Linked DNA regions of Macaca mulatta. The protein of the gene in region 2 purifies or fractionates together with the protein of the main gene of each other region. This does not show direct contact. Links are inferred from orthologs where the notes say so. Each region holds a gene or a part of one and is shown on either strand. Other genes may lie near its edges.

What was found. The genes of interacting proteins can lie anywhere in the genome.
Region 1: the proteins of LURAP1 (region 2) and CDC42BPB purify together in Homo sapiens (co-immunoprecipitation; 3 studies listed by BioGRID and IntAct, with this or other methods). This does not show direct contact. The link is inferred for Macaca mulatta from reciprocal best matches to the Homo sapiens genes LURAP1 and CDC42BPB.

The regions. Positions count from the first base shown.
Region 1 is NC_133412.1:176,460,724-176,465,747, forward strand, and holds the start of CDC42BPB (serine/threonine-protein kinase MRCK beta), read right to left. Parts: upstream 3,319-5,024; 5' UTR 2,940-3,318; coding exon 2,765-2,939; intron 1-2,764. UniProt on the Homo sapiens protein: Serine/threonine-protein kinase which is an important downstream effector of CDC42 and plays a role in the regulation of cytoskeleton reorganization and cell migration. Regulates actin cytoskeletal reorganization via phosphorylation of PPP1R12C and MYL9/MLC2.
Region 2 is NC_133406.1:194,373,752-194,378,835, forward strand, and holds the start of LURAP1 (leucine rich adaptor protein 1), read right to left. Parts: upstream 3,415-5,084; 5' UTR 3,349-3,414; coding exon 3,151-3,348; intron 1-3,150. UniProt on the Homo sapiens protein: Acts as an activator of the canonical NF-kappa-B pathway and drive the production of pro-inflammatory cytokines. Promotes the antigen (Ag)-presenting and priming function of dendritic cells via the canonical NF-kappa-B pathway.

The DNA.
Region 1 (5,024 bases), on a different chromosome or scaffold from region 2:
TTCCAAATTTCCTCATTAAGCCTCCAAATCTGGGCTGAATCAGCTACTTTTCTTCCTTAAGTTTCAAGAATTCTCCACAATTGTCATTAGATACCTGGCAAGATTTGGGAAGTGGGGAAAGGTTGGCTTTTCCACATGACAGAAATCGATGTATCAGAGGTTTCAAATGTCATGGAGTGGTGAATGCAAAAACTGAACAGTCCACTCACTGACAGCCTATATGTGTTTCCTGAGCAGAAGTAATTGAAAGTTAGAGTACCTAATATAGCTCTATAAACAGTTTTATTCAAAAGCATTATTCTGTGCTTTCCAATCGAAACAACTAGGCAATTCCAAGCAACATTAAATACTAACTGCACACACGTTAACTAGAAATACACCAATTTAGAGTTACAATGATGTATATGTTAACATAAATGAGTTTAAATACTTGTAAAATATATTGATATTTCATTAAAACACCACCTTCTAAGTTCATTCTTCTCTATAACTGAAAATTTATACTTTTGTGCAAACTGAGTTCCTAAGAGAATAATGTAGTTTGTAATCACAATTTCCAAAGAGCCAAAATATAACTTTGAAAACATGTCTATGTTATAGCACACAGCTCCTGTTTAGATTTGGAAAGGTCAGATCTCATAAAATGTGACCTCCACACATGCTGAGAAGAGCTTCCTCCAGGGAAACCCACCAGTAATGCCTGGTGGAGAGAGGCGGCTGCACAACGGCCCACAGGGCCCCAGCCCTCAGACTAATCTCCTTCTGGGAACCAGGGCAGAGGCCAGTGGGACAACACCTTCCCAGCAAAACCAACTTTCTCTCTGTTTCCTCCTCCCAGTCACACTCACAGGTGGTGCACCAAGTTGAACCTGACAGTGGAACTGTGTGGGTTTCAACATCCAGTGATCAGAAAGGAACGGTAAACAAGCTGGATGCAGTGGCTCACGCCTGTAATCCCAGCACTTTGGGAGGCCGAGGCAGGTGGATCACCTGAGGTCAGGAGTACGAGACCAGCCTGGCCAACACCGTGAAACCCCATCTCTACTAAAAATACAAAAATTAGCCGGGCATGGAGGCGCGTGCCTGTAGTTCCAGCTACTCAGGAGTTTGAGGCAGGAGAATTACTTGGACCCAGGAGGTGGAGGTTGCAGTGACCCGAGATCGTGCCACTGCACTCCAGCGTGGGCAACAGAGCAAGACTCCGTCTCCAAAATAAAGGAAAGAAACTGGAAACAAAATATTCAGATTTTAACATGCACCAAAGAACTCACTTTCAAAGCAATGGTGAAGTCAATTAATTATTCAGTTGGAAATCATGTCACTGACAAAGGATGCTAGAAAGTAAATATTCTTAATTTACTGATACTATAACTAACCAAGAATGGTAGTTCCCACGGAAATAAAGCATCACAGGCTGTCCTTGATCTCAGGGCCTCTTTCTACTGCTGCTCTCACAAGATAGTGTGTAACATTTCACTACAGAGCAACTCAATAGAAGCCCTCTAAAGAATACTGCAACTTAAATTTTATTTGTAAACAAAATTCCAAATTCCAGTTACCAATCTGGCAGAGCAGGAGGCCTCACTGTGGAACACTTTCATTTGTTTCTTCGTATAAATATCAGCTTTATCAGCCCCAAAGATTAGAAATTACTGGTTCAAACTGAACAGTCCTAGCCCCGTGACGCAAATGACCCAAGGATAAGGTTTTCATAGGTCTGGCCTGAACATACGCATTTCCTCCTCCTACTCAGTGGTTTTAGGTGAGATAGTCTGAGGGTCTTGACAGCACACCGCTGTTAGGCAGAGATGAAGCAAAAGGGTTTCACTCTGCGCTTTTACCTGTCTTTAGGATCCTAATTATCGTTAAATGGTTTAACCAAATTTTTGTCCTAAAAAAGCATAATCGGTTAGCTGACCAATGATTAAAATACAGATCCCGAACTAACTAGAGAAGGCATGCAAAAATCAGATGAGAAAGTTTTTAAGTGATAGCTCCAACTACCCCTCCAAATATCACAAAGGTCTAGCAGAACTGGAATTTAAAAAGAAACAAAAAAAAAGTCCTCTTGCACGGTTTATTTAAAATAAAGCCTTAACCTTAAAATCCCCTTGAAGGTGTTACAGCAAAGTGGGTGTTCAGGCTATGGCCAACAAGGGGATGTAGACAGGCTGTCACCCAGGAGGGGCCGTTAGTGCTGGGCTCGCTGGAGATGCAAGGGGGTCCCATGGGGCAGTGGGCGAGGCAGACGCAGAAAGCACACCCAGCTGCCCCCACAACGCAGAGGAGCGTGGGGTGGGGAAAGTGAACTAATTCCACGCTGCCTCTGGACCCTAAAGGCGAGGTGCAGGGGCGGGGGCGGGGGCGGATATCCCAGGGAGTGCTGCAGGAAATGATATCCAGACTCGGAGGGTGGATCTAGGAAGCGGCCAGGGCGAGGGCCCGGCAGGGGGGAGGGGGTGGGAGTGGGAACGTAGGATGTGGCTCCGAGGGGCAGGATGAGGGGGCGGGACGATCGAACGCGGATGTCCAGGCTGGGGAGGGCAATGAGGGATGAAGAGCTAGCGGAGGGACGAGGGCGCACGGAGCGGCTGGAGAAAGATGGGCAGCGGGCCCGGGGGCGCTGCCGGGGCGAGAGGAGGCGAAGCCCACCGGCTGGGTGGGCAGGAGGGCGGCAGGGTCTGCCCGGGCGGGCGTGGGGGTGCGCGGGAGGGGGCGCAGGGGTCGCAGGGCCGCAGGTCCGGCCCGGCCGGCGTGCACTTACCCCACTCGAGGAACTCGGCCACGTACTTGTCGCGGCGCAGGGCCGAGTGGCTGCACTCGGTGTACAGGCAGACGAGCACGTCAAGCAGCGTCTCCACGCTCAGGGCGCTCTCGTTGCGCCAGGGCCCGTCCAGGAGCAGCTGCTCCAGCTTCTTGAGCCGCACCTTGGCCGACATGGTGCCGCGCGGCCCGCTCCCGACGCGCCGGCCTCTCGCAGCCCGCTCGGCCAGTCCGTCAGGGCGCGCCCTCGGGGGCTCGGCGGCCGCGAGCCCCGGCAGCAGCGGCGCCTCCTCGCCGCCCCGTCCGCGTCGTCGCGCCCCGGCCTAGGCCGACATCTTGGGCTCCGTCCCGGCGGCGCAGAGTCTGGGGCGCCGGGCCCCGCGGGTCCATGGGCCGCTCTCCTCCCCTCGGTGCCGCCGCCCTCCCCGCTCGGGCGGCCCGCCCCCGCCTCGCCGCGCCCCCGCCGTCCACCGCCCTCAGCCCCGCCTGCGGCCGCGCCCTCCCCGCCGCCGCCGCCGCCGCAGACTAGGAGCGGCGAGGAGCCTAGCGCTGCGCAAGCCCGGCCGGCGCCCGAGCCCCGACCCCAGCCCCGACCCGGCGGCCCAGCCCCGCGGCCCGCAGCCAACCAGGGCGCGGCCAGCACCGGCGCAGCCAACCACTGCGGGGCCGGCCACTGCCGCGCTGACCTCAGCGCGCCGCCCCGCCCCGCGCCCGGCTCCCAGCTCCCGGCGGGCTCGGGCCTCGCCGCTTGCCGTAGGGAGCCGGGATGCTGGGAAGGCAGGGCCGGGCCCGGGGAGCGGCGCGGGGGGGACGGGAGGGGCGGGGCGAGTGCGCCGCCGAGATTGCGGGGTCCGCGCATGCGCAGAGCGCGCCCCGGTGGGCGTGTGCGCCTTCGCCCAGCGGACCCGGTTCCCTCGGTGTTTGGGGTCCGACCGCGCGCGTTGCGGATCCTGGGGCCGAAGACGACCCCAAGTATCGAAGAAGCAGAATCGCGATCTCAGGCCGTCGGGCCCCGTCCCACAGTCCCCGCGGGCCCATGTTGCCTGGGGGTCTCGGACCGGCCCGGCCGAGGTGGGTGTCGAGGGCCGCCCGGCAGGCGCAGCTCTGATGGCCTCGGCGGGGCTATTTAAAACGGCTTGTCCCAGCTCGAATTGGTCCTAGAAGACTCGGGTCCTACCCCTGACTTTACCGACGAGAGATCGAAGCCCAGACGGTGTGGGGTCAGGGCCCAGGCTTGTGGGGGCTGCTGCCAAGGCGGGAGCCAGCGTCCCCAGTGCCCGGTGGATTCGTGATGGCTTGCAGAGGGTTTCAGTTTCCACTGTCCAGCCCTCCCTGCAGACCAATACCTGGGTGTGACAGTTTGGTTGCGGGGCGGATATTTGTCTCCAGGCTGGGTTTGCCTGGCGAGTCGCTGTATTTACTAAGATTGTTGGTTAATTTGGGTGGCTGGGGGAGGGAGGTTGATGGAGATACCCCCCACCCCAACAAACCCTTGGCGTCAGGAGAGGAGGGGCTATTCCTGAAGCTTGCGGAAGGTCACCGAAATCGTGGGGGTGGGTGAGAGCTTCTGGGGCGCGCGAGTACAGGGGAAGGGGTGGAGCCGATGAAGGGGCAGATAGGGGTTTGAAGCCGGAGGCTAAGGGAGCCTGAAGCATAATTAATCTCTGGAGCTAAAAACAGGAAAGGGCCCGGCGCGGTGGCTCACACCTGTAATCCCAGCACTTTGATAGGCCGAGGGGGCGGATTGCCTGAGCTCAGGAGTTCGAGACCAGCCTGGGCAACACGGTGACACCCCGTCTCTACTAAAATACAAAAAATTAGCCGGGCGTGGTGGCGCGCGCCTGTAGTCCCAGCTACTCGAGCGGCTAAGGCAGGAGAATTGCTTGAACCCGGGAGGCGAAGGTTGCAGTGAGCCAAGATCGCTCCACTGCACTTCAGCATGGGCAACAGAGCGAGACTCCGCCTTAATAATAATAATAAGAAGAAGAAGAAGAGTGGCTGCCTATGCCGGAGTTGTTGACCGGAACAGGGCGAGGAACCTTCTGGGCTGCTGGTAATGTTCTATGCCTGGATTTGGGTAGTAGTTACATGGGAGTACACATAAGTAAACATTCTTCACATTGTCTTCTTAAGATCAGTGCATGTCACTGTGTGAATATGTATATAATACCTTCATTTCTTAAAGGCAGGTGAAAACAATCTGGTGTTAGAGGTGCGAGTACTGGTCGCCTTTGGGGTATGAACTGGAAGCAGACACAAGG
Region 2 (5,084 bases):
CAGGATTCAGGGGTCTGGGTTGTACTGTGTTGCTGGGAAATGAATCTGAGAGCAGATTCTATAATCCTGTGACAGTGGGATTCCCTGACTGTGACAGCATCACTCCCAGAATAGAAGAAAGCAAGGCTTTCTTGCCAGAAAAAGAAACACTCTTTTCACACGATCTCTTGAAGAAAATAGAGTATAGGATAAACAGCTCAGGAGAGAGGCAGCCTCAGAGGCAACTCCAAACCCAATTCTCTTTCCAAGGAGATTCAGGCTCCCTACTCCTCTCCTTAACATCTACATATCAGACTCTGCCCAGCGCTGGGGTTCTGTATGGTTTCCTCATTGCTCAATCCAAATCAGGCCCTGGGGTAAAAGCCTGGAAATCCTAGTTGGAGCTCCTAGAGCAGGGACTATCAGAATATTGTTACTACAAAGGTTCTTACGATCATCTGGTTCCACAGTCCCCATCTCCCTCTACTCCCTCCACCAAGAGGAAGAAAAACTGAGGCCAGGAGAGAGAAAGAGTACTGCTCAAGACCACAAAACGTTTCAGAAGCAGAGCCAAGACTTGAACCCGTGCCTTCTTCCTCGCCTAAAGCTTCTTCTCAGACTGCCTCTGTGGAGGTGGGTTGTCATAGCAACAGTTCTTTGGGTGGGAGAACTAAGAAGAGGTTGCCACTGTTTCCCATTCCCACATATCCCAGTCTGGCTTGTTCACTCAACCTTTGAATGGTGGGTAGAGGAAGAAAGCAGGAGGGATGAGGCCTAGAGGCGGACTGACCTTGGCCTCAAGGGTAGGCCTCCCTGCTTTGTGCAAGGAAAGCTGGGAGAGGAACAATTGAAGGACAGTCCTTAGAGGGCTTGAACCAGTCCTGCCTTCATTAGCCCCAAGGGAAACCCCTTGCCCCACTGCTTGTCCTTCCTGGGTGCAACCCAGTAGGCAGGGCAGAGCACAGGAAGAGATTAATATTAATAACATCCTGTCCTGAGGAGGGAGAAAAATAGGATGGGGATCTCTCCTCGTTCTGGCCCCAGAAGGCTCCCTCCCTTGTGCCCTTTCTCGGGCAGCCTCAGGCCCCAGGCAAGCAGGGTCAAGAATACAGAGAGACAAAATCAAAAGTTAAATGCAGCCCCTTAAAGTTTACAGATCGTTTCCACCAAGGCAGAAAAGAGAGCCAGAGAGACTAGGCGTGGCTCTTCCACTGACTCCCTATGTGAGTTCAGAATCTGCAAGCATGTTTTATCTGTAAGATGGGAGAAATGATGACCAGTTTTCTCATTTCAATGACATAAAATGTGTTTAGACTATCTGGCACAAAGCAGGTCTCAAAGGTAAACATGCAAAGTGCAGTCAGATGATCTGGGTTCAAATCATGGCCATGCTTTTTGTGTGATCTTGGGCAGTTATTAAACTCCCTGTGCCTCTGTTTTCTTTTCTCTTTTCTTTTATCCTCCCTCCCTCCCTTCCTCCCTTCTTCCCTTCCTTCCCTCCTTCCCTCTCTTTTTTTGAGACAGGGTCTAGCTCTGAGCTCTGTCACCCAGTCTGGAGTGCAGTGGTGCGATTTCAGCTCACTGCAACCTCCTCTTCCTGGGCTCAAGTGATCCCCCTGCCTCTGCCTCCAGAGTAGCTGGGACTACAGGCATGCACCACAACACCCATCTAATTTTTGCAGAGACAGAGTCTTGCTTTGTTGCCCAGGCTGGTCTCAAACTCCTGGGCTCAAGTGATCTGCCTGCCTCAGCCTCCCAAAGTGCTGGGATTACAGGCGTGAGCCACCATGCCCACCCTGTGCCTCAGTTTCTTCATCTATAAAATATCACTTACTTAACATGGTTACTGTGGAGATGAAGAGAGTATCAAGTAAAGTGCTCAGCAAGCTGCCTGGCACATGTGCTGGGTGAAAGTTAGTTTTCAAAGCAACTAGACAGTCTAGGTAGGCTCTTACTAGGCCTTGAGCTAAAGTTTGTACAGCGAGACAAAGGCAAACCCCTGCTTAGGTGGGGACAGTCACAGCCTTGCTCTGGAGAATTTGGCACTCACCTCCAACCTTCAAGGCCAAGTGCACACTTGGCATTCAAGTCCTTCTCCCAGAGGGCCTTTCCTGGCTGCTCCACCCACCAGACTCTCTTCCCAGTCTCTCAGCTCAGGCATTAGAGCCCTGGCTGGTCTAAGAGCCCCCATGACTTCCTTCCCCTGCTCCTTCACAGACCAGCTTGGCACAGGCTGCGCACACAGTGGGGGTCCAGAAAGACTTATTAGCTGACATATTCACTGTGGGCTCCTGGTTGTAAGCCAGGAAGCTGATAGCAATTCCTCAGTTCCCCAGAACTGGCTGCAAAGTAGTGGCAGGTGTAAATCACCCACTTCACCGGAATCAGGGCCCTGAGGAACATGCCAGGGCCTTGGCTGCCCTTTTGGCTCTGAATCTAGACCAGCAGCAACAGAGAAAGGGGAAGGTTGCTGTTTCCTCTTCTCCCCAAGAATGTGCAGATGAGATCCAAATATCCAGTTTACCTGGGAGATTGGATGGGAGGAGACTGAGTCTGAGGTGAGGGAATCAGCACCAATGGTGCTGTTACTCTCTGTTCCTGCTATGGGTCTAGGAACTTTCCATTATTTTAAGTAGGGCTGGGGGATGTAGAGGAAATGGAGAAGGTTTTCAGTGCCCCTGGTCCAGACAGTTTACAGCAGATAGGCCCCTTTACCCACATCTTTTCTGTGCTGAACACTGCGGGCCTCACGGGAACTAAACCCTTTCCCGGTTAGCAGAAGGAGAAAAAACCGGTTGCCTTACAACGGGGACTGGGGGGGAATAGGTGGCCCATACGGGCGGGGGGAATTTGTGCTGCGTTGGGTTCTCAGTACTTCCCAGTACTCATCTCTCTCCTCCCAATTATTTGGCAGGAATAACTTCCAAAACCCACGGCTCCCACCCCAATTCCTCAGGACCTATCAACACCCCCACTCACTCTTGGGGGACAATTAATGGATGTCACTCCATCTCCACCCCAGCGTTTACGGATTGATCTGGGAGGGATTCTGAGCAGTTAGGTGGAGAGTTTTAACTACCTCCTCTCCAGCTTAACTCTGAGAGCATGAGTTCGTCCCTCCTGGCCCTAAACTGGGGACTCGTCCCCTTGGCCCATGGAGTCTGCACTCACCAGCTCCATCTTCAGCGCCATGATCTTGTCCCCCAAGTCGTGGCCGGTGCTAGGCGTCCCTGGGAGCAGCAGGGCGCCAGAGGTTCCTAGGTCACACTCGCCTCGCAGCCCACGGAGCAGCCCTTCAGGGGTCTTCCTGCCCACCTTACCCTCCACATCCCGCAGGTCAGGCGTCTGGGACTCCACGGTTCCCTCCATGCGGGCCCAAGCCTGAAAAGGGCTGGGCAACCGGACGCCAGGGACCGGCTCGCGGGGGTCCTCCCTTCGCCGCTGCTAAAGCGGAGCAAAACCGGTGGGTCCCCGCCCGAGAGCCGCGCGGGCGGCAGGAGGGTGCCGTAACACTCAGAAAAGCCGCGCAGCACTGTCCGTGGGTATATTCGAGTGCTGCGCACACAACCTCCGGCCCTGGATTGCGTGGGGCTGGGCGGTTCTGGAGTTGGACCTGAAAGAGCACTCGGAGACCTCAGCGCCTTCGCCCCACCCTGGCACTGAATCCAGCCAGGCACACAGCAGGCGCCCAATACATGTTTGCAGAATGAAGTCTAAGCAGCTTCAGTCAGAGATGTGGGAGTTTAAGGAACAGTGGTAACAGAGAGCTGCAGAAGGCTTGGAAGTCTTCCTGGAGCAGAGGAATTGGGTCTAAAACGATGGCTGGATTTTAGTCAGACACACACACAACACCCCAGGGGCTAGAATTCAGACTAACGGAGTAGAAAGGGGCAACCAGTATTGAAGCTGAAGAGGTCCACATTGAGCTTACAAGCAAGATCCTCCTCCTTAAACTTGACTGTGCATATGAATTATCTGCGGATCGTATTAAAATGCAGTTCTGATTTTGTAAATCGGGGTGGGGCCTGAGATCCTGCCTTTTTTTTTTTTTTTTTTTTTTTTGAGACAGAGTCTTGCTCTGTTGCCCAGGATGGAGTGCAGTGGCACGATCTCGGCTCACTGCAAACCACTGCCTTCCCCGGTTCCAGCGATTCTCCTGCCTCTGCCTCCTGAGTAGCTGGGATTACAGGCATGCACCGCCACGCCCAGCTAATATTTTTGTATTTTTAGTAGAGACGGGGTTTCACCATGTTGGCCAGGCTGGTCTTGAACTCCAGATCTCAAGTGATCTGCCTGTCTCGGCTTCCCAAAGTACTGGGATTACAGGTGTGAGCCACTGGGCCCCGCCAAGATCCTGCATTTCTAATAAGCTCCCAGGTCATGGCCATGCTGCTGGTCCACGCTTCAAGTAATAAGGGACCACACTTTGATAACAAGGTTACAGAAGATGGTTCTGAGATGTTTGGGTTTTATTTAACAGGTAATGAACAGTCATGAAAACTTTGGTTTGTGTAGGCTTGTAATTCAAGTAATTCCAGCCCGTGGTTGCAGAAGGATTTACAATGAGAAGATAGTTACCCCTGCCCTACCCTTTCACACCTCTAGGCCCACTCCCAATTGGCAAAAAGTAACTTTTAGTTTTTGGGGGGTTTTTTGTTTTTTGTTTTTTTTGGTGTTCATACCCGTAATGTTATTGTTTAGAGTTAACTAAAAGTGATTGCCAACTGGGAGTGGGCCTAGAGGTGTGAAAGGGTAGGGTAGGAGTAAATATTTTCTTATTGTAAATCCTACCACTCCTTTTTTTTTTTTTTCTTTCTTAGAGACAGAGTCTTCCTGTGTTGCCCAGGCTGGACTCAACTCCTGGGCTCAAGCAATCCTCCTGCCTGCCAAGCAACTGTGACTACAGGAGTATGCCACCATGCCCAGCCACACTGCTTCTCAATTTTAAACATTCAACTGCTGTTTATTATCATATTCAGATAAATATGGATATATGGGTTTAACTCACACTCTGTAGTTCGTTTCCCCTACTGGCACTATTTATTTCTCTCTTTTTTTTTTTTTTTTGTCACCCAGGCTGGGGTGCAGTGGCACAATCTTGACTC